Notamacropus eugenii: one gene and its partners. The protein of the gene in region 1 interacts with the protein of each later gene in a pairwise test. Links are inferred from orthologs where the notes say so. Each region holds a gene or a part of one and is shown in the gene's direction. Other genes may lie near its edges.

Region 1 (7,379 bases):
CTGGAATGTTACCATGTGAGGTGCTGAGGGCTTCCTTTTTTTATCACTCTTGATCCCCTGTGCCTGGCAGTACAGGAGATGGGCTTGGGGGTGTCTGGAGGATCTTGGCCTTCTCTGCTCTCCACCTGGACCCTCAAGGAGCGCCTCATGGCTGGGTCTGCTGTAGGCTGTAAGGCCCTTGAAGGTCAGCTCGCTCTTCTGTCCTCAGCATCAGAGTGCCCGTTGGCTGGACTGGCCATGGCCTGCTTGTCAAGGTGGCTGGGGTGGGCTGGCTCAGGGGGTGCTGAGTCTCTCAAGGGGGCCTGGGTGGGGTTCCCCTACTGCATGGGCAGGAATAGGCCTTGCTTTGGGCTGGCATGTGGCAGGAGTTTCAAATGAAGACTTTGAGTCTGGCTTGCTTTCCCTTGGGTCTAGGCTGCAGGACCAATTTAGACTGTGGTAAGCTGAAGTGGGCATGCCTGAAGTCATACCCAACAAAAGGAAAAGCCACCAAGTTACGCACGTGGACTTTACCTGAGGACGGCCATAATAAGTTCATTACCTGTTTGGGGCTGCCAGGGATTTCTGAATGGTTGAGTGAATGATGCGATCTCCCCAGATTTAGGAGGGATTTGTTGAGAATGGTTATTTGGGGAGCCCCTCCCTGGTGTTGCTGGCTTTCCAAGAACTTGGTTTTAGGATGAGAGCCCTGCCAGGTGAGAAGAAAACCATCCCACACCTCCTGGCACTGAAGGTAATTCCGTGGGGCTTTTCTTATCTCATCACCTTAGCTAATGTTGGCCCATCTCCCCTAGGGGAAAAGAGTTCAGCCGTGATACTTGATTAAAGAATGTTGTAACTTTAGGAACTTTTCTTCTCCCCCAAATTGAAGACTTCCAGTTCAGTTGAACAGCTTTCACTTGGTCGTTGTTTTGTGAGGTGCCTGCCCTTGTGGCTGCTGTTCACTGCTGAGACCAGCTTGGGGGTTTTCCAAACAAACACCTTTACCAGTGTGCTTGTTGCTTATTTATCCAGGCAGAAGTCAGTGGCTTAAAAAAAAAAAAGGTTGACTGTACAGTGTGTACATTCCGGAATGGATCAGTGAGGATTGTGAATGGGGAACCTGTAAGAGGGAGGTCCTAGTTGCCTGCCACCTCCCTCCTCTGTATTCCAACAAAATCGAGTCCCCACAAATGATTCTTAATGAAATGTTTGGACTTTTTGTTTGTGTGGTTTTGTGAATTCTTACCTTTGGAGTTGTAGCTTCATCTTAGGACTCGTAGTAGCTTAAGATCACATTGAACAGTTCACATGTACACAGACAGAGAAAGCATTACATGCCTTGGCTAAATGTGTGGGTGTTATTTAATGGGCTCTTATTCTTAGGGGAGTTCATGGGATTTTGAGATTTTGCAGCCAGCCATGACTCCCACAGAGCACTGTGGGAAAAACATTTTGTGTGTACGTTTGTCTGAAATGAGACATTGATTTTAAATGTTTTTATTTAATAACCAGATTTACTAAATTCTAGTTTATTTTGAAAGAAACAGAGGTGACTGTGCTTAACAACCTAGGTTGGAATTAAGATCCCTTGTTTCTCTCACCATCAAGGTCAGGAAGGGAGACGCTCATCTGTTCAGGAATGTCTTTGTAAATTCCAAAGCGTGATGACCAATAGGAAGTGTTACTGTTGGCCTGTGGTTTCAGTTTTTTAGGTAAGCTTTCCCCTCCACTTTAAAAAGGGTGACTTTTGCTAAGGTGAGCCAGGAATCTTTCTGACCACAATCACTTTGATCCTTCTTCAGCTGTGATAGAGAGCCATGGTTGAAGCGTCACTCCTGTACTTAAACATTCTCTCAATTGGTCATTTCTCTGCTTCCTGTCCTGAAATCAGACTTAATGAGGACTCTATCTTTATTAGCAATATACCCAGCCAGAGGTTGTACTGTTGAAACGACAATGAGTCACTGAAGGAGCAGGTTACTAAACAGGTTGTCTAACTAGGACACCTTTGACTTGATTTTCATATTTTAAAGAATTCTCTTTACCAGAAGACATTTCCCCCAAGCATGACTGATATCCTCATTCTGAGAGATCAGTGGGTCAGTTGCACCCCAAGGCCCCCCTCTACCCCTCAAGCTGTGTTTCTTTGTAGCAGCTGGGATCATTTTGTAAAAAAAAAAAAAAATGACTCACCACTCTTTTTCCCCAGGAAGAGGACCTTCAAGTTCCTTTAAACTTGATCTTTATGAAAATGTGCCTTCTCCAGATAAAGAAACTTAAACCACACACTTAATTTGATTACTTGTTCTAGTATTTAAATAGGAGATTGGCTTTTTCCTTGTCTTTTTTTTACACACACGGGAGCTTTTCCTTGGATTTCCTTAGTCATTACTTTGTTCGTTTACAGAAGTAGAATAAAAAGTTCTGTTGGTTAGTGAGAGATTAACATCATATAAGCTTTTTTATGGTGAGCTTTGCTTTAGTGGGGCAGGACTTACCAGTAAAATAGTGAGGGAACCAGGTAGATTGCATCACAAAATATACAGGGGGTTTTACAAACATGTTTTCCAAAATTACATTTCTCAGAGTACTCTATACTGAGCAGTCATAATTTTAAAGATTTTCCTGCCTATACCAGCATTGTACAATTAGGAAAACATTGTTGAATAGCTGTGTTTGAAATTGGCCTTGCAAGGAAATATGTAGAATTTTTCTCATATTTGCAAGTCTTGACAAGACTGTTTTTTGTTGGTACATTTGTTTTCTGACTACTTTAGTAACGGCATTAATGGGCAGAGGTCATGTGTCTGATTGGGCTCTCACTGGCCCATTTGGGCCATCTTCTTTTCTCTGTCACCCCTCTGGGAGATCTTCTCACTTACTGAGGTTTTAGGGGGTTATCTCTAGAGTTGACTGTAAGCACTGGGAGTCCAAGGGCATCTAGCCTTCCCTCTCTTCCTTTATTACTCTGCTTCAAGGTCTATTCCGTGAGCATCTCAGCCATCTGTATGCAGGTTAACAGCCTCCTCCACCCCCCCCAGTCTCCTTGACTTGGCTGAACTCTCTCTGCCTTGGGTGAGCTGCTCCGACAGCGGTGCCTGGCTTGTCCATGACATTGCTTCCCATTTCTTGAAATTACACTATATTGCTTTTTATATATTTTTGGACCGCATGACCTAGGGCCAGAAGCTAAACCCTCCAGCAACCCAAGTGATGGACTCAAGAAAGAAGGTGCCACAAGTCTGGTTAAAAAAAAAAGTGTCCATGCTCCCCTCCCTTTTCCCTCCTGGTAGAATGTCCACTCCTTGAGGCCAAGGATTTGATTTTGTATCTCCAGGACCTGCCACAGTGCCTTGTCCATAGGTTCTTAATGTTTGTGATGTTAAAAGAACACATCCAGCACTTAGCACAGTTCCTGGCACATGAGCAGGGGCTTAACAACTATTTATGGATTGATGGCTGTGTCTCCAATACAGAAAGGCCCAGGTAGCCATTGCAGAGTGAGTAAGAAAGGCCCTTGCCAAAGCCTGTTCATTTTTTAGCATCACAATTTTCTGTTGTATCTCATCCTCAGCGAGACCCTCCTGAGGACTTAACCCCCAGGATTCTTATCTAATCTTTGTATCTTTTCCAGAAACTAACTCAGGGCTGCGACAAAAGAGAAATGCTTAATAGATGTTTATTGAATTGGATTTACAAACCCTTTTCCAAGCCGGTAATTACGAGAAGGGAGGGAGAGTCCTCTACAGACAAGCCCAGTGACAGCCGAGGAGTAGATGGGAAAAAACAAACAACGCACAGGGCAGAGACGTGGGACTAACGGTAGAGTGGCCTATAAGGCTTAGAAACAAAAGCTAGAATGTCATTAAATGGACTCCTTCCCACCAAACGGCTTTTCAAAAAAGTGACCTGTGGCCTTCAGAATCCCAGGGTGTTGCTGAAGGAAGATCCAGTATGAACATGAAGATATCATGAAAGCATCCCCCTGCCCCCCCATCAGAGATGTGTATTGGGTAACTCTCCCATGCTTCTGCTGGTTTGTCCAGTGGCATCTCTGCTTTTTGCTGCCTCTTCCCGTGGCCATTCCAGTGTCCTACTCTATGTCCTCGCCTCCCAGGGCCTCTCATCCCTCACTGTGCCTCCTGCTGTGGAGGAGCCTCGCTGAGCCTGCTGGTGATCCCCAGAGGTCTGTGGGGATCCTGTAATCACAGACCCCCTGAGGCCAGCCTGCTGCCCTCAGAGCATGCTTCATTCTCTACGAGGCAGCCTTAGAGATGGGGAGTGTTGACACCTCCCTGCCAGACCAAGGTTCGTTCAAGACTAGAGGAACAAAGTAAGACCTGACTTCCTCTTACTGCTGACAGGGCTGGTTCTCAGCAGAGCCACACCAATCAATGAACGTGGATTCAGCACTTAACGGGCCCTGGGCTCCTCCATGTCCCTGCCCTTCAAGGACTTATACCTTGTCATCTGACATGTACAGAATCAGTAAGTGCATCCCAGGGTGCCTCCTGCCTGGATGGGTGGTGACCGTCAGGTAGGTATTCCAGCAGAACTCCTAACCAGCTGTCTGCCTCCCACCCTGCATGGTGGTACCACTTGCCTTTGGGATGATGATGTAGGATTTTGAGCTGGAAGGAGCCTGAAGAGGTAACTTGAGTGCAGGTCCATTTCACAGGTGAGAAAACTGAGCCACTCCTGGCATCTGTCAAGTCCCAACTCAGTTCTGCTGTTCTAGTAGAAGCCTTTCCCAATCCCCTTAATTCCAGCTCATCTGTCTGATGATTTCTAGTTTATCTTGTATATATTTTTTGTTTCCCCCGTTAGACTGGGAGCTCCTAGGGCAGGGGCTGTCTTTTGCCTTTCTTGCTACCCCCAGTGCTTAGCTCTGACACACAGTAGGTGTTTAATAAATGCTTCTTGACTGAAATGACTGGCCTTGGGAAGCAGCAGAGAGGGGATTCCCACCCAAGGCCTCAGCCTCCAATTGCCCCTGTGCCATGGTGCTTTGTGAATGTTGAGGCAATCCAGCAAGACTGACTCTGGAAAGCATGGGGAATAGGCCTGGACCTGTGATTTCATCAGTGTCTGGAACTCTCAGAGAACATTCCCTCCCCAGTCCGGACGGGCCTCTTCATGTCTTAGAATTGTCTGGCACACAGAGCCTGTGAGTGGAAGGTGTGGACTAGACCCTGGCTCTGGCCAGCTCGCGCTCTCTCTCTCTCTCTCTCTCTCTCTCTCTCTCTCTCTCTCTCTCTCTCTCTCTCTCTCTCTCTCTCTCTCTCTCTATCTCTCTGCCTTGGCTTGCTGCCTTCTTGACCTGTAGTTGCTTAAACCAGACAAGGGGCCCTTTAACTTGCACTTTTCCTCAACTGGCACGATGTTTGTATTGGACACATTTATCTTGGGTGTGGGAGCTTTCTTTGAAGACAGGAAGTTCAAGACCAAGTACAGATTTTGAAGTTGTTTTTTTTTTTAAAGTTGAGAGGAGTTTAAGACAATGAAGAGCTGGCCTGGGTTTCAGTCCTGCCTCAAATACAGAAGGGCAGGTTTATCCTGGGCGAGTGCTGACAATTCTCCGAGCTCAAAAGTTTTGAGAAGGTGCCAGTCTTCATTGGTGGAGGGACTTTGCTCACCTGGAATTCTCTTCCCTCCTGTAATTGGTGGCACAGGAGTAGAGGAGTCATGGGTCATGGGTCATGGAAGCTTGCCCTTGAGGATACTCAGATGGAACCTTGAAGGAAGTTGGTGGATGGGGGAGGGTGTTTTTCTTTTCTTTCTACTATTGACATTAAGATTTATTTTTTTTCAACGTAATAGTACTTTATTTTTTCCAATGTCAAGAGAGTTCTCAGCGTTCACTTTTATAAGATTTTGAAATTTTTTTCTCTCTCCCCTTTCCCCAAGATGGCAAGCAATCTGATTGTAGGCTATACGTTTCAGATCACAGTAAGTTTATTTTGACATTAGTCATGTTGTGAAAGAAGAATCAGGACAAAAGGGAAAAACCACAAGAAAGAAAAAAGAGAAAATAGAATGCTTCTCTCAGCATTCGGATTCCATAGTTCTTCTTCTGCATGTGGATGGCATTTTCTATCATGAGTCTTTTGGAATTGTCTTAGATCTTTGCATTGCTAAGCAGAGCTAAGTCTATCAAAGACAGTTATTTCACAGTGTGGCTGTTAGGTATACAATGCTCTCCTGGTTCTGCTCACTTCACTCAGCGTCTGTTTGTGTCAGTCTTTCCAGGTTTTTCTGAGATCTGCCTGCTCATCATTTCTTACAGCATAGTAGTATTCCATTACACTCTAGTACCACAGGTTGTTCAGCCATTCCCCAGTTGATAGGCATCCCAAGAGGGTATGATTTTCACACATGAGGCCCCCCCCCCCCCCTTCCCCAATAAGGTGGGAAATGGGAGATTGAATGTCCTGGGGAACAACAAAGAAGCTAGTTTGACCAGAAGTAACTCTCAAGCCCATCAGCCCCTGGAGCTGGTGGTTGGGCTTGTGTCTAAGGACTGTCCATTTCTCCTCTGTGTGGAGGAGAATCTGGAGGCAGGTAGACCACCTGGGGGACTACAGGCCCATTGTCCTGATGAACATTTGTAAAACATCTTACAGTCATCATCCCATTTGGAAAATGAGGGGACTTGAAGCTGAGGTATGACTGTTAGTGAAGAAGGTCTTATGAAAGGAGGCCTGACACTTGACTTGCCAGCTGATGGGTTAGTGGGGGTGAGGGAGAGGGAAGCAGTGAGTTTGAACTTAGGGGACTGATGCCCTCAACTGAAGACAATGATGGTTTTTTGGGGGACAGATAAGGAGTTCTATTAGGTTGTGGTGAGTTTGAGAATGCTTGCCATTGGGCAAGTCCCATAACAGTTAATTAGTGATGCTCTGGAGCTCGAGAGAGATCAGATGTGGGTGGCTCCCAACCATGGGAGCTGAAGAGGTCGATCAAGTCAACCAACAAGCATTGATTAAATGCTTACTGTGTGCTGGATCTCTAAGAGAGAAAGGAGAAGAGGCCCTGGGGTTTACTCACCCACAAGGGTCTTTAAGGCCTGGACTTCAAATAGCCCTAATGCTCAGGCAGCCCTTACACATCTCAGGGGTTAGGGGCATAGGCCCCCCCTCCCCCATCTGGAAAATCCACCTAAAAGCTTTTGGTCCTCCTTTTGTGCCAGAAAAGAAGTATTTTGGCTTTGCGGATTTCCTTCTCTTTTGTCTTGATATCATACAAAACTATACATATATTTTATGTGCTTCTTAGTTTCTAAATTTTTCTGTCTTGTCTGCTGGCTTTTGGTACGTCATCTGGGGCTTCTGCAAAACTCCCCCAAATATCCCATTTGATTTCTTATGCTGACCCTCGATCATATGTGGAAGGGATAA
Region 2 (7,658 bases), on another chromosome or scaffold:
CTTATTGTCTGACTGATTGACTCTGTCCCTAGATCCCTGGGATTTAATGGATGAGATTTCAAAGCCTTATCTTGCTCACAACCATCCTTCTTTTAAGTGACACCCCCCCCATTAGAAAGTAAGCTTCCTAGGGATAAGAACTGTCTTGCTGCTTGTACTTTTATCCTCAGTGCTTTGAATAGGCCTGGCACATAGAAAACACTTAATTAATGCTATCTCTTTCTAAAAAGCAGAGATATCACCTTGCCAACATATAGTCAAAGCCATGGTTTTTTTTCAGAAGAAAACATGGCTGTCAGATGAGAACACGGCTGTGAGAGTTGGACTATAAGGAAAGCTGACCACCACAGAACTGATGTTTTCGAATTGTGGTGTTAGAAAAGACTTTTGAGAATCTCTTGGACAGGAAGGAGGTCAAATCAGCCAGTACTTATATAAATTAATTCAGGCTGTTCACTGGAAGGTCAAATACTGAAGCTGAAGCTTAAATACTGTGGCAGTTATTGGAATGAGATGGTAGTTATTGGAAAAGACCCCAATGTTGGGAAATATTAAAGAAAAAGGGAACAGAAGAGGATAAGATGTATACACAGAAACAACAAACATGAACTTGGACAAACTTCAAAAGATAGTGCAGGACAGAAGGTCCTGGTGTGCTATGGTCCATGGGAAGAGTTGGATACCACTGAGCAACTTAATATCTCACTCTGTCTCTATCTCTCTGTCTCTGTCTTTGCCTATCTCTGTCTCTGTCTCTCTCAAATAACGGTGTTGGACTTGACCTCTAAAGTACCTGGTAGCTCTAAATCTATGATCCTAAGACAATAGTAGATGCACTTCTTAGTTTACAAGGTTATTTTGGGGAAAACATTTTGTAATTAGTGAGTTAGAGCTAGGCACAGGGTTAATTGTTAGGATTAGCATCACTAGCTGAAAGAAAGACAGTCCTTTCCTTTAAAGAGCTTCTCCTCTAATGGAAGAATTCAACACTTGGGGAAACTGGAAAGCAGAAGGATTTCAAGGCGTACTAAAGTCCATAATAAATCCTGGACAGTAATAGGCATATCTTTTGTTCAAGGACTTGCCTTAATAAATTCCAGCATAGCTACCATGAAGGCTACGGACAGCATGGTGAGCTTCATCAGTGGAGGGTGGGTCTTTGCTGAAAAACAAAAAAATAAATGTTTAAAGTATTGAAGAAGTTATTGTCATTTTCCTTGTATAGAAAGAAAATCTTTTATCACTAACATTTATGTTCAGAGCTGTCTCTCCGGTTTTGCCCTAGGCGCTGAGCTTTTTTGTGGAGCAGAGATTTCAGAGAAGCTCTAAATCTTTCCTCTCCCAAATCCAAAACTCCTGAAAAAAAAAAAACCCTCTTCTCTTTCTATATATTGTGTTTAGCACTGTACCTCACACATAAGAGGCACTTAGTAGATACTGACTGACTGACTGAACCTACAAGTTTATTGCTGATGTTTTCCTGCTTGGACTTCATTTCTTTATCTTGACAATGTAGTGATATAGTGGAAAGAGGCCTAAACTTGGAAGTACAATCCTTGAGTCAGAGCCTCAGTGTAGCTTACTGCCTGTGTATCCTTGACCACATCAAAATTCTTCTCAGAGGCTTCATTTCTCCTTATCTTTAAACAAAGTGGTTTGACTAGATGATTTCTTCAGTTGCCTTTTAAGTCAATGTCAATTGGAGGCCAATTCAACTGAACTCTGGGCTCAGGATGTTATTTATCCTGTGTTTTAAAGAGTACTGATGACATCATGGGGTGATGTCTTGACTTGCACCTGAACTGGACTTAAGTGAGGCAGAGTTGCCCAAAGTCATCTGCCTCACTCTCTCTTTCAGACTTATCAAAGTCCAGTACTAAGACAAGTCAAGACAACTGGCAATGGTCCAGGGTGCAGTGGGTGACCTCGGCAGACAAAAAAATGAAACCAAAGGGAAGGGCTAGAAATGTGGGGCCATATTTGTTTGCCCAAATTCCCTTTGCCTTGATTAGAAGCACACAAAATAGAGAGGGGAGGGAGCAGTGTAGGATGGATACGGAGGGCAGGGTATTGGGTTGTAGGAGGGCTCTCCTCTCCCCTTTTAACTTTTCTTGGATAGCCAGGGCTGCAGTGGGTGACCTTGGTGTCTTCAGTGTCTAACCAAGCTCTAAGTACTTCATAGCACCTGCTTCAACCACTTTCATGACCCTTAGAACAAAGTGTTCTCATCTGTCACCAGGGAAGTCTTCACATGCCTGGGGTAGACACTCCCCATACAACCCCTCCCCCCTCCCAATTCAACAACAGGTTTGAGACCATTGGTTCCCCTCAACTTAGTTTAGTCTGTCTCCTGAGACAGTTTTGCTGAGATGTGGCCAGTGCACATGCTACAACTTCTTGGAGCCACAAATGATAGTTGGGTGACAGGTAGACACCAAAGGTGGATGAGTAACTTTGAAAAGGCCTTGGCAAGCCCTCACACTATAGTGCTAGTCCTCCCTGAATTCCCCATACATCTCTGAGAATACAAAAAGGAAAAAGAAAATAATCCTTGTGCTCAAGGAACTTGCATGTTACTGGGAGTTACAAGTACACTAATGAATCAATGTGGAGTAATTAGAAGAGGGGGATGTAATAGCAAGGGCCCTGGCATACACAGGTGGGCCTGTTGTACAGGTTTTTAGATCTGCTTTTATAAAAGGAAAGCAACTTTTGAGGGGTCAACAATCACTTTAATCAAACACATATACCAACGGAGAAAATACAAGCAGAGAAATAAAGACCAACAGACAGGGCTTCCAACTGTCTGACCGTAACAAATATATACATCATAGATCAACAGACAGATCCAACTGTCTGACCATTACATACATACATAGTTACCAGAGAGAGAAGCACCAACACCCGGGTTTGCAAAGGGGAGGGGGGGTAGGGTTCTCCTTATCAGCTGCCCAAAGGTTCATCTGGCCAAACACTTCTAACAAGTATGCTCCAGTGTAAAAACCTCACCTCAGAGTATTTATACACTTTTCAGAGCTGGAGGGCAGGACCCTTGTGACCGAGCGCCTCAACAGAAATTAACAAAAGGCATTGAGGCCTATTAATAGGCAGGAAAGATCTTAACTCTTCCTCCCTTTCCCCCCCATGAATCTTATATTAATATTACAGGGGAGGACCCAGGGGTATGCTAGAGCCAGTTCTAACTCACTGAGGAAAGCATCTTGAAAATCTGCAAATCCTACCTATCAAGGCTTGACTTATTTTTTCTAATTGTCTAGAGTTTAAATGAGGAAGAAAATGTTAATGAGGCAGATTAAATTTAAAAGTGTGTCATGTGTACATTTCTTTTGGAAAGCCAGATTTACCAGCTAATAATCCTGGCTAACCACTGGGGAGGTGGAAAGATTTCATAGAAGTGGCCTCTGAGCTCAGTTGAGTAGGCAGGCAAATAGGCGGCATAGAGGATAGACTGCCATACTTGGAACAAGGAAGACCTGAATTCAACTTCTGCCTCAGATCCCTACTAGCTGTGTGACCCTGAGCAAGTCCTTTGATGTCTCTTACCCTTAGTTTCCTCATCTCTAAAATGGGATCAGTTGTTGTAAAGATTAAATATCTGTAAAGCATTTTTTACAAACCTTCAATCATGATGTTAATGTTAGTAATTATTATTATCATTGGAAGATTCTGGAATGATTTGCTAGTTCCTTCTCCAGCTCATTTTACAGATGAGGAAACTGAGGCAAACAGGGTTAAGTGACTTGTTCAGGGTCTCAAAGCTAGTGTCTGAGGTCGAATTTTAACTCAGGTCTTCCTGAATCCAGGTCTGAAGCATATCTATCCAGGTTCTGCTACCGAGGCATATTGTGTGTCTCCCCCCCCACCCTCCTCAAGCGGATAGGGGTTGGGAGCTCGGCAGAGGTAAAACTCTCACAGTAATCCATTCTCGGGGAGGTTTTCGAACCCCCCCCCCCCCCCAAGACTTCTTGAATGGAATTTGTTTAGTATTCGGGGCCTGAGCCAGAAAGGAACAATGACATTTCTGTAGACCATCCGAAGATATTTCACTCCCCCTCCCACTCTGCCCCCGTCCCCCGCGATTTTATCTATTCTTGACTTTCCAAGTTAAAAAATTTTTAAATAGGGAATGCATTTTTCTCCTTTTCTTTTTCCCCTTGTGGTTTTCATTGCTATGCTTAGCTTAAATAAATACCCAAGGGAGCAGGAAAAACAAAAAACAAACCCAAAAAACCCACCCCAAAAAACCAAAACAAAAATAGTAATACTTCTTTAGAAGGGATGGTGGATGAAAGGAAACAAAGGCCGAGCAGACCCTCGATCTCGCGGGTCGCTGAAGCCGGGAAGCTTGGCCGGGGTAGGTGTTCCACGGTGCGGTGCACATTTCACTGGCCAGAAAACCCGGCTTGCAGTTTCCCGAGCTTTGTGTGGCTTTGCCTCGGGTTCAGGAATTTCGCCGCTGAACTGCTGACAACAGAGCGCGCGTCCTCTGCCGGTGACGAGCCTGCTAAGGCAGCGGCATGGGCAGCAGCCGCAGCAGCCAGCTTCCCGACTCCAGGGAAATGGAATGATGAAGGGGAGGAGAAAAAGGGGGCGGGTTCTCCAGTGAGGCGGAGCAATACGTGCAGGCGTCTGCCCTCCTCGCTTCTCTTCCCATTGAGTCACGGCGCGCTGCGAGCCCTGTTGGGGCGATTTTTACCTACCCGAGCCTGGGGAGAACGGAGAGACTGAGGCGGGCGTTCCAGTCAGAGCGCTGGGGCGAAGTGGAGACTTCTCTCGGGGCTGCGGCGTTCCAAAGAAAGATCAAATCGCCTGCAGTCGGGGGACCAGCCACAGGCGGGGGAGGGGGGCGCTTTTCCCACATACGGATCAGCTTTTTGCAGCCCTTGTGGAACAAGGGCGAAGAAGAGAGATAACCGGGACCGAAAAAATGAATCGGAGTTTTAATAAATCTCAGAGTCTGCGGTTTTTCGATTGCAACGCAGTGGAAGTCAAGAGTAAGGTAAGCAAGGCTGAATGCCAGCCCCCAGTCCTGTTTCAGCCCTCTCTCCCTCTTTCCCCCTTGCAAATGAATGGAGATTCTTTGGCGTTTTGTGACTTTAGAAAAGTGGGAGGCGAGAGAATTATTAGTGACAACTTTTTTTGCGCTCTTTTGATGTTTCTGAGATCAAGTAACAGGTCCACCTTTTTCTCCTCCGGGGTTGTGCTGGGGAATCCGAGGAATGTGCGACCTCTCCTGCAAACCGCAATGGGGACTGAGGGTCCCCCCTCTGCAACCCAGAGAGCGAGGGAGAAGTTTTGTTGCAGTGTAAGCCTGTGTTTGGGGTTCGCTGCTCTCAGATTTCAGCAGCCACAGTGCAACCAGCCAGGCTCGTAGATTCCCTGTCTATCCACTGTCTTCCTTGTGGAGTTAAAAGCTTGGATTTGCAACTGGGGGGAGATTCCCGTTAGATCTGAGCGCGTCCGTAGGGCAGGGAAACTATGGAAAAAATGTTACTGCTGCCGACCCACTCAATTTAAATTTGCTCTTTTGTTTAGTCGGACTGAGAAGCAACCCGAGACGCGGAGGCTAGAGAGGAGGGCGGCATTTCTTGGGCTAACCATCGTTTTGGGGGTTGGACTGACAGTCTGAGGGCTTATTGGGGATTAGGATCAATGGATGGAAGATTTGGGGGTCGGGGACGGGAAGGACCCCCTCCTATAAGCTCCAAGGGGAGAAATGTTTCCAAAAAGAAGGAATCCAGATACCCCCTCACTTTTCCCCTCTCCATCTCCCCTCCCAAGTCTGCCCTGCTGGCTCCCTTCTTTCTTCTCTGCCCCCCACCCCCGCTAGCTGTTTGTGCCCCTGGCTGGGGCAGTTTACTGAAGGCTTCTGGCGGATCCTAACTAGTGAGTCAGTCTCGCCTGCCTGCCTGCACTGAGCCCAGCTCGTTTGCTTCTGAGAGCTTGTTTAAACTTGTTTGTTGTGTGTGTGTGTGTGTGTGTGTGTGTGTGTGTGTGTAAGTGTAATCGTCTGATGTGTGTGTGTGTAATCGTCTGATATGATCTGCCCAATTCTCTCTTCTGTGGGGGAAGGTTCTCTTCCCTTCCTTGCTTTCATCTGCAGACGCGCTTGTCTGTGTCGGGTCATTATCTCCTGGAGAGACTGTGCGGGCTCCTCTGGACCCGAGGCTCTTTGTGGGTGGGGGTAGGGGAAGGCAGTGAGGTACATTGAAGGTTTGCTTCTCTGCGTCTTTGGAGACTATTGCATTCGCGACTTCTCTGTTATTCCTGGAAACCAGCCGAAACTGTCGAAGCTTCCCCACGTCGTGGGGCGCCCGCGGGATTGTAAACCCGTCAGGTCACTACTGCTTTGGCCGGCCGGGATTCGCTAGCAGTACGTGCTGCAGGGGGCCCAGGGGCGAGGAAGAGTGGAGAACCCTTGGCTGGGACGACAAGGCCAGCACTTTAGGTGTTCATAGTGTTAGAACTAGATCTAGATACGAGAGAGTCTTGAACCTGCTTCCCCCCCAAGATTCAATTCACATCTTCAGAGGGTGAAAGAAGAGCCCGGGGCCCGCTCCCGAATTCCAGAACGGCAGGAGGTAGACAAACGTTAGACATTCTGTAACAGGCACTACATACTTATTCTCTTTCATTCTGCTGTAGAAGCAAGATGGTCAGGAGGAAGCTGGATGTAATCTTCTCCAACCCCCCTTTAAAGCAAACTGCAGATTCTGTCATTCCCCCCTCTTCCACCTCTTTTGGAAGTATCCACATGAAATCTACCAAGCCTGTGCTGAGTTAAGTGGAGGCACATTACAAACAATACAGTTTAAAATCCTTTGGTTTCTTGAAGGTAGGTGAGTGGGTGCTGACTTCTCAGGGACCTGAGCAAGAGCCATTCATCCAATCAGAAGTAACCTGTCCCTTTGCTTACTCCTAAAACAAATAACCTGCAGGATTCCTTGGAAGCTAAGGCTTTATTACCAAGCAGAGAAGAGTTATTAAAGGGATTTGTTTTGTGAAGTTTGGATTCAGTAGGCCACATTTGAGGACCTAGAGGGTCATGTGTGACTTTGAGACTGCAGGTTCCCCACTACTGGGTGGTGATTTGCCCCATCCCTTGAAGTAGCTTTAGCTATCATCTCTGTACAGATGACAGAACTCTGTCATCAGCTCTCACTTCTATCATGCTCTAGAAACACATCTGCATCACCTACAGGACACCTTTACCAGGTTTTCTTGCCAGCACTTGGAACTCAATGGGTTTAAAACTGAACTGTTTATCTGTCCCCTAAACTTTCTGATGTCACTTTTCGTCATTGATACCACTGTTCACCTGGACTCCCACCTTAGAAATCTTGCTGTTATCTCCTACTCCTTCCTCTCCTTGGCCTCTCAGTTACCAGCTCTTATCAATTGTGCCTCAGCAGTATCTCTTACATTTGACCATTCTTTTCTGTTCCTACCACCACCATCCTGGTACAGGTCTTCCTTACCACCAACCTGAACTGTTGCAATAGCTTAACAAGTATTCCTTCCTTATCTTCCCTCCTCTGTCAGTCCATCCTTCCTAAGGCATAAAGCTCTTCATGGCACTCCTCTGGCCAAAATCCTGTAGTATCTTCTTGTTGGTTGCTGAGTAGTTTGCATGATGA
Region 3 (7,018 bases), on another chromosome or scaffold:
CAGTCACTCCAGGTCCTGCCCTGATCCAGGGGCTTCTAATCATTGGTGAGAGTTTACCGTATCTAGCTTATCCAGATGCACCATCTTAATGGTATCCCGCCCTTTTCCTCCCTCAACATAACCTAGCCCATTTTCCATCTCCATCTCTTGGGACAAAAATCACTCAATTCTACTATTCCAAGTTAGGGTGTATCATTTAATTAACTGATGACCACGCTCATCATCCCTAAGTCCAGGGTGGTGGGTTAGAACCTTGCTTTAGCTTCTTGAGGGCAGGAACTGTTTCGTCTAATTTTTTTAATTGCATATCCAGTGCTTCACACAAGCTAAGTGCTTAATAAATGCTTTTTCACTGATTTATTCTGGCAGCTAGTTGGCTAGGGAAGGGTTTCCCTAGAGAGAAAAGAGGGTTGGATATGCAGATTTGGAAGTCTCTGCGTATAGGTGATAATTGGCCCCACACATGGGGAGCAGGATATGATGAATGATGATCTAGTGAAGGAGACTGAGAGAGAAACTTCAGACAAGCAGGAAAACTAGAAGAGAGTGGAAATCTCTTGCAGACCCAAGGAAGGGAGAATATGCAGGAAGAGAAGGTTAAGTGTTTCAAAAGCTGCAGAAAGACGAGGACTAATACCTTGAGATTTAGCAGATAAAAGACTGGCAGTATGCCTTAAACCGAATAATTTTAGTGGAGCTGAGTGGTATCAGAAATTATATTACATTTACTTATTTGTATAACTGTAATATCTCCTGGTAGAATGTAAATTCCTTAAGGTCAGGGATTATTTTGCATCTTGTCCTTGTGGAGGACCCAGAAATAGGATCCTTAATAAATATTTGTTGAATTGATTTAAAATTCACTAAGGGTAAGTCTCTCTCTGACCTCATTCACTCATTCAGATGAAATGAGTACCTACTATGCAATAGCTGTACTCTAATGAAGAACAGGATATAAGATTTCTACTGTAGAGGTGAATGGGGATTTGGGGGAGGGTTGGATGAAGGTAGATTAGTGTCAGTCTCATAACTTCAAGAGCTTTGAATAGCTTGGGAAAGGCTGAATCACAGGCTGAATCTGTAATAGGAAAAGGACCTGGAAGGGGATGGTCCCTCCTCCCCTTTATCAAATTTAAACTATTTTTTTACACCTCTAATTACACAGTGATGCAAGCCTTTCAGTGAATTCCTCTTTGGAGAACCAGGAAGCATAAGCCTTACCCTTGCATCTAGAAAGGAAAGTCCATGTAAGGGAAACCACACCCTGAGGGGGCATGACAACACCTTCAGGAATGCAATGCCCACACGAGGCTGGCTTATGTACATTCCTGTTAGGAGAACTCTGATAAATCAGTATTGATAACATGAGGTTCTGAAACACAGTTATAAACCACCATCCATACTTTCTGGACAGGCTTTCTCAAAAGACTCTTTCTCCTGGATCTGTTGGCTTAAGGGTATATTTTGAGAGGGAAATAGGTGGGCTTCTACAAAACCAGTATGCATTTCCCAAGTTACCAGGCCAAATGAGTAGTATTTCTAAGAAGCCCAAATGTCTCCATACCCCAGCCCCAAATCAATGAATCAATAAATCAATAAGCTTTTATTATGTCCCTAAATATGCCAGGTAGAGTGCCAGGTACATGAGATAAACATACAAAGAATGAAACAAATCCTATTTATATTTAGGTGAGAAGAGCAGGTCATAAACCAGGGTCTTTAATTACTTATGTGGGCTCCAGCTCACTTCCTCTCCTAAGCTCTGAAGAGCAGTGGTAGGAGACCTCTAGGCAAGCAGAAATGCTGTGGAAGAATTTTCTTAAGAGATCCAAATACTTCCCTCCTCCCTTAGGAATGTAGAGCCCCTCCCAAGAACCTTTTAAGAGTTATCTCAAAAATGATAATAATACTTGTACTTCAGAGATCCAAGGAAAAAAATCCACCTTACAAGGTTAGAACAGATTTAGAACTGGAAGGGAGGACCCTTAAAGATCATCCAGTTCAACCCTCATTTTAAGGCCCTCATTTTAAGGCTAAAGGTACAGAGCAGCTAGGACAGCTGGATGCACAGTAGATACAGCCCACGTCTTGAGTCAGGAAGACATCTTTCTGAGTTCAAATCGAGCCTCAGACACTTACTACCTATGTCACCCTTGTAAATCACTTAACCCCATTTGCCTCACTCCCATAACTTTTGCCAAGAAAACCCCAAATGGGGTCATGAAAAGTTGGACACAACTAAACAACAACACAGAGGTCCCAAGAGCCTAGCTGTAGGAAATATAAAATCAAGTGGTTTTAAATTATGAGTTCTCCTCTAGACCTCTTTAAACTAAGGGAAATCACAAAGCTGTTCGAGCTGTTCTTTTGAAACTTTCTCACTGGTTAGCAGAAAGAGTGAAAAAGGTCAAGGGGCAAATTCCCTTCTTATTCCCCTCCAGGTAAGGTGGAGTCCCTAACCTAGAAGATCTTGCTATCCTGCAGGACCGATGGAATAACTCACCTGAAACTAAGGAAGTACCCAGATAAAGCAATTTATCTTTGTTTTATCCTTTTTTCCAAAACACTTAACTAGGAATATGGTGAATCTCTGCTATACCAGTTTATGGCTTATCCCTCCCACCAAGGTACAAAACCGTAAACACTATTTAGGAAGGACACACTCTTAGCTAAATTTGGTATTTCCTAGTACTGTTCTTTGCACACAGTAATGATAACTAACATTTCTGCAACTTTTTAAGACTTAATGCTTATGCAACATTTTCTCCCATAAGATAGGATTATTCCCATTTTACAGATGAGAAAATTGAGTCTTAAAAATGCAAAGTAACTTGTCCAAGGTCACAGATAGCACATAATTAAAGTTAGAGTATGAACCTAGTTTCCATAATTTCAAGTTTGGCATTCTTTCCACTCCACAGTCATCTTTAATAAACCTCACATGAGAATTTGTTGGTCCAAGTACAAATGACCCTGGGACTTCTTTCTGGAGTTTGGGAACTTGCCCTTTGGGAAACATTTCTAGAAGTCTCCGGTTTTCTCTCCCCTCCAGGATGACAGATAAGGGTTAATTTGTTGGTGAAAAATAGGTTCTATTTCTACCAGGGAAACTTAGAAGATAGCGGACATTTCTGAACCCAAAGAACATGGCCCGGATGGTCCAGTCTAGAAAAGTGCAGGTCGGGGTTGGTGGTCGGAGTGACGAATATCTAAAGGTGCTAAGACAGCATTTTAAAGCACCAGGAAGGGAACTGACTGAGGAGGGACTGGGAGGAAAAACACAGCGTGTTAGCAACGGGGAGCGGCTCAAAATTTAGGCGAAAAGTCTAAACTCAGGTAGCGAGGGTCTTCCAGGCCTGTCAAATACGAAGGCCCTGCGACCAACTGCGCGTGTGCCACCCCAGGAGCAGCCTACCGGCAAGGCGGGCAAAGGCTCATGCCCAGAGGATGAGTTATTTGGCCGCGGTAACCTGTGAACCATTAAATACCAGGGGGCATTCATTTTCAAGTTCCTCCAAAAGGGGAGCGGTCGTCATAAATGACGCCTCCAATTAAACGGGAGGCGGCTGGGGTGTGGAGACTCGACGGCTCGGCCCCAGCGCTCGGGGGCCCAGCTCTCGCCCTGGCCGTCCCGCGGAAGCCGAGGCTCCGGCTCTCTCCATGGGTAACAGGTGACACTTCTACAGCGCTTTCCAAGGCGTTAAGCGCCTCCCTCCACCGCAGGTGCTCACTCGCCCACGTCCCAGAACCCCAGCCCGGAGGAGGCCAGGAGCGCGCCCCCGCAGCCTCGGGGGCGGGGAGGGGGGAGGGGAGAACGGCCCGAGGGCTGGCGCCTCCAGGTGCGCTCTCGCTTCCGGCACAGACCCCCGCCCCTCCCCCGTTCTCCAGCTTCTGCAGCGGAAACTCCAGCGGCCACGCATGCGCTCTACTTCCCTGCTTAACAGCGGTGTAAGGAGGGGTTGGATGGGGAAGGGGTGGAGACCGCCCCCGCTCTTCAGGTGCTCCCCCGGGCGTCTCTAGGCGGGCGCTGGGGTGGGAGGGGCGCGTGACGTTCCCCTTCCCTCTTTTTTCCTTTCCTTCCCTTCCTCTTCATTCCAGTCAACTAGGAGAGCTTCTCGGCTGTGTACCGCGGCTCTGGCCCCTGGGCGGGCGGGAGGAGTCAGTCGTTCGGCTTCTCCTGGGCCTCCGGAGTCGGGGCCGGCAGGTGAGCGCGCGCACCGCAGTCGTGGCGACTCCCCGCCCCCCACACCCGGATAACTGCAGGTGCGTGAGGGGCACGCGCGAGGTCGCGCCCGCTGAGGACGAGGCTGAGCGCTCGCGGCCGCCCCCTCCTCCCGCTCGAATCTCCTGAGCCGCGTCCGCGCCCCCAACCGGGCGGCGCAGGCCGGAGGCGCTCTTTCTCCGTCGCCCCCTCGCCCCGGGAGAGGAGGCCGCCTGGGGCAGACGGCCCGCCCCTCCCCCCCGCGCTCACCATGAACCGGACTCCCCGGCACGGCGCGGGCAGCGGCTGCCTGGGCACCATGGAGGTGAAGAGCAAGGTGGGTGCGGGGCCCCGGGAGTCTGCGGGAGCAAGACTGGGGAGAGGGCGGGGGTGATGGCCCGGCGCCGGGGCTGAGAACTCGGGGAGGAACCTGGAGGGCCCGCCTGCCCCTGCCCTGCCCCGGCAGACTGGCGAGGATCTAGTATTGTTCGCCGGAGCTTGACCAGCATTCCTCCCCTCCGCTCCCCTCCCCCAGCTCGTAACCCGCAGGTGAGAGTAGGAAGGAGGGGATCACGCCCGAGTGAAAGAGGCAGATGGAAGGGGAGAACTTGATTGGGCTTGGGTTCTTGGGCTGAGTCCACCTCGCCGTGCCCCCGCTCACCGGCCGGGGAGTAGGAAATGGACTTCAAATTCGATCTGCTTCCTATCGTAGCAAAATGAGGTCCTGTCTCTTAACTGGTATTGTCATCTGTTTACTCTTTGAGAGTATTAACTCATCACAACAGAATTTTAAAATTTCACTAATGCTTCACAGCAGAACTTTGGTCTGTTGAGAACACCCAAGAAACAAAACCCAAACACTTAAAACGTGAAATTATTTAACTATTTACAAGCCAGCGTATGAGCCATGAAACTAGTTAATTAAGATGTCGACTGAACCTGAGTAGTGGGTTTATCACTGATGTCACTGAAAACCATCTATTAAAAGTGTGATCAGAGGTTTGGTGGGAAAGGCTTTCTTAAATGAGATTGATTTTTAACTGTGAATTTGGAGGAGGAGACATGCATAAGAGACAGTTCAATCCCAATAAACCTTTCCTTGAATTCAGCTAATATTAACTGGATGGAACCATGTAGACCTTGTTCAACCTCTTCTCTCCCACCCCACCTACACTCTGGAGTCTGAAGCTCAGAGACCTGCAGAAGATCACATAGTTTGTGAGAAAACTACCGTATTCCGCTTTAGGCTTTGGGAGATGTAATGCCTATCAGAAGTTTGCTGTAGGGGAATCCAAAGCATGGAAAGCGCCGTGAAAATAGCTACAAAGTAGATACAAAGTAATGTATCAAATGCAACATAATATTGCATAATTGAATTCCTGAGTATCGACGGTTTGCCGAGTGAGAGTAGTGATCCGTGGAATGAAGGTACTGGGGAGAAGTTTCTTAAAGGATACATAGAAGAAGAAATGCAGTCTTCTTCAGGGGATGATGACCGTGTATTTACAAGTTTTTGATCTTTAAAATGAGATCGAGGATATCCACATTTGCCTTGTTTTTAAAAGTTAACATTTGAAACTCCATTCCGTGTGTGTGTGTGTTGTAGAGTTTGGTTTGAAACTGTATGCACTATTTAATCAGCATAAATGTAGTCATCAAATCAAACTTTAGACTTGGATTTTAAAGAACATACTCTCTCTTCATCCTTCATGGAATTCTCATTGCAAATTGAATTTGTTGGCATGACAGTAATATGATTAAAAATAAATTTGGATAATGCTATAACAGTAACGAGTCCATACAAAGATGATTGAGATGCCTTTCTGCAGTTCTATCACCAGATTTGGTTTTGTGGGAGCTTAGGTTGACAAATTCTCAGGTATGGTCCGGTCTCAGAAATAGGCATTAACTTCTACTTAGCCAGTTGGTTTTAACTTTTTAAAAATGAATTAATACTCAATCTAAATATTCTCTCTTTAATATTGGAAAATTTTAAATTGTTTTAGACCCCACAATTATGAGCATTTGTTATGGTGCCTTGCATAGGGGTCCTAAAATGCATGTTGAAATAATGTATCTCATAGGATTGTACTTTAAGAGATTTTCTGTTTTTCTACCAGTTGATTTAAAATTCTCACACGTTTGTAGTTGCAGTTAAACCGTTTAAATGGCATATTTGAAATGTTAAAGTTTTTATAAACATTTCCTTTTTATACAGCCATTGGAAAAGCTCAATTTGAGATACATATTCTTAGGAAAGTTTTTTAAGCTGTAAAGAGCTATATGTATATAGAGCCTGCTGTTATTCTCTTAGCTTATGGTAAGTAGATAGGCAAAGCATCAATACAATTTCTGTGTTCATATTAAGTTTTAAGTAAATTTTTGTCAGTAAAATTGTTTTGAATGGTGAAACTGAATTGTTTCTAAGGTATTTTCTGGAACTTGGACAGATTTACTTTTAAAATGATAAAAATGGTAGCCATGCCTTTTTTTTTTCTATTTTCATATAAATATATTAAATTTTAAACAACTGTTCTCTGTCGTGTTTTACTATACAGGTTTTGTCTAATGGCATTGAATTTTAATGTACCATGGCCATAATCATGATAAAAGTTGATTTCGTAGGAATCAATATTATTACTTGGCTCAGAATGACCCTTAAAATGTAGGGGAGAAGATATCTATTTCTTCCCATTAAGCAAGGGTATTCTTTGAAGTTGAAATGTATTTTTTTTTTCTGTAGCAGATTTACTTAATTATCTCTTGAAGTGAGAGATTTCACAGCCAGTTATCACTATGGTGGCCTTGACCACCTTG

Evidence for each region.
Region 2: the proteins of PRKCI (region 1) and PARD6G interact in binary tests that used the Homo sapiens proteins (3 or more experiments, as listed by UniProt). The link is inferred for Notamacropus eugenii from reciprocal best matches to the Homo sapiens genes PRKCI and PARD6G.
Region 3: the proteins of PRKCI (region 1) and PARD6B interact in binary tests that used the Homo sapiens proteins (3 or more experiments, as listed by UniProt). The link is inferred for Notamacropus eugenii from reciprocal best matches to the Homo sapiens genes PRKCI and PARD6B.

What each region holds. Positions count from the first base shown.
Region 1 is NC_092877.1:353,921,595-353,928,973, reverse strand, and holds the start of PRKCI (protein kinase C iota type), read left to right. Parts: upstream 1-4,343; 5' UTR 4,344-4,376; coding exon 4,377-4,519; intron 4,520-7,379.
Region 2 is NC_092875.1:199,840,203-199,847,860, forward strand, and holds the start of PARD6G (partitioning defective 6 homolog gamma), read left to right. Parts: upstream 1-4,622; 5' UTR 4,623-4,948; coding exon 4,949-5,020; intron 5,021-7,658. UniProt on the Homo sapiens protein: Adapter protein involved in asymmetrical cell division and cell polarization processes. May play a role in the formation of epithelial tight junctions. The PARD6-PARD3 complex links GTP-bound Rho small GTPases to atypical protein kinase C proteins.
Region 3 is NC_092872.1:516,100,954-516,107,971, reverse strand, and holds the start of PARD6B (partitioning defective 6 homolog beta), read left to right. Parts: upstream 1-3,914; 5' UTR 3,915-4,472; coding exon 4,473-4,538; intron 4,539-7,018. UniProt on the Homo sapiens protein: Adapter protein involved in asymmetrical cell division and cell polarization processes. Probably involved in formation of epithelial tight junctions.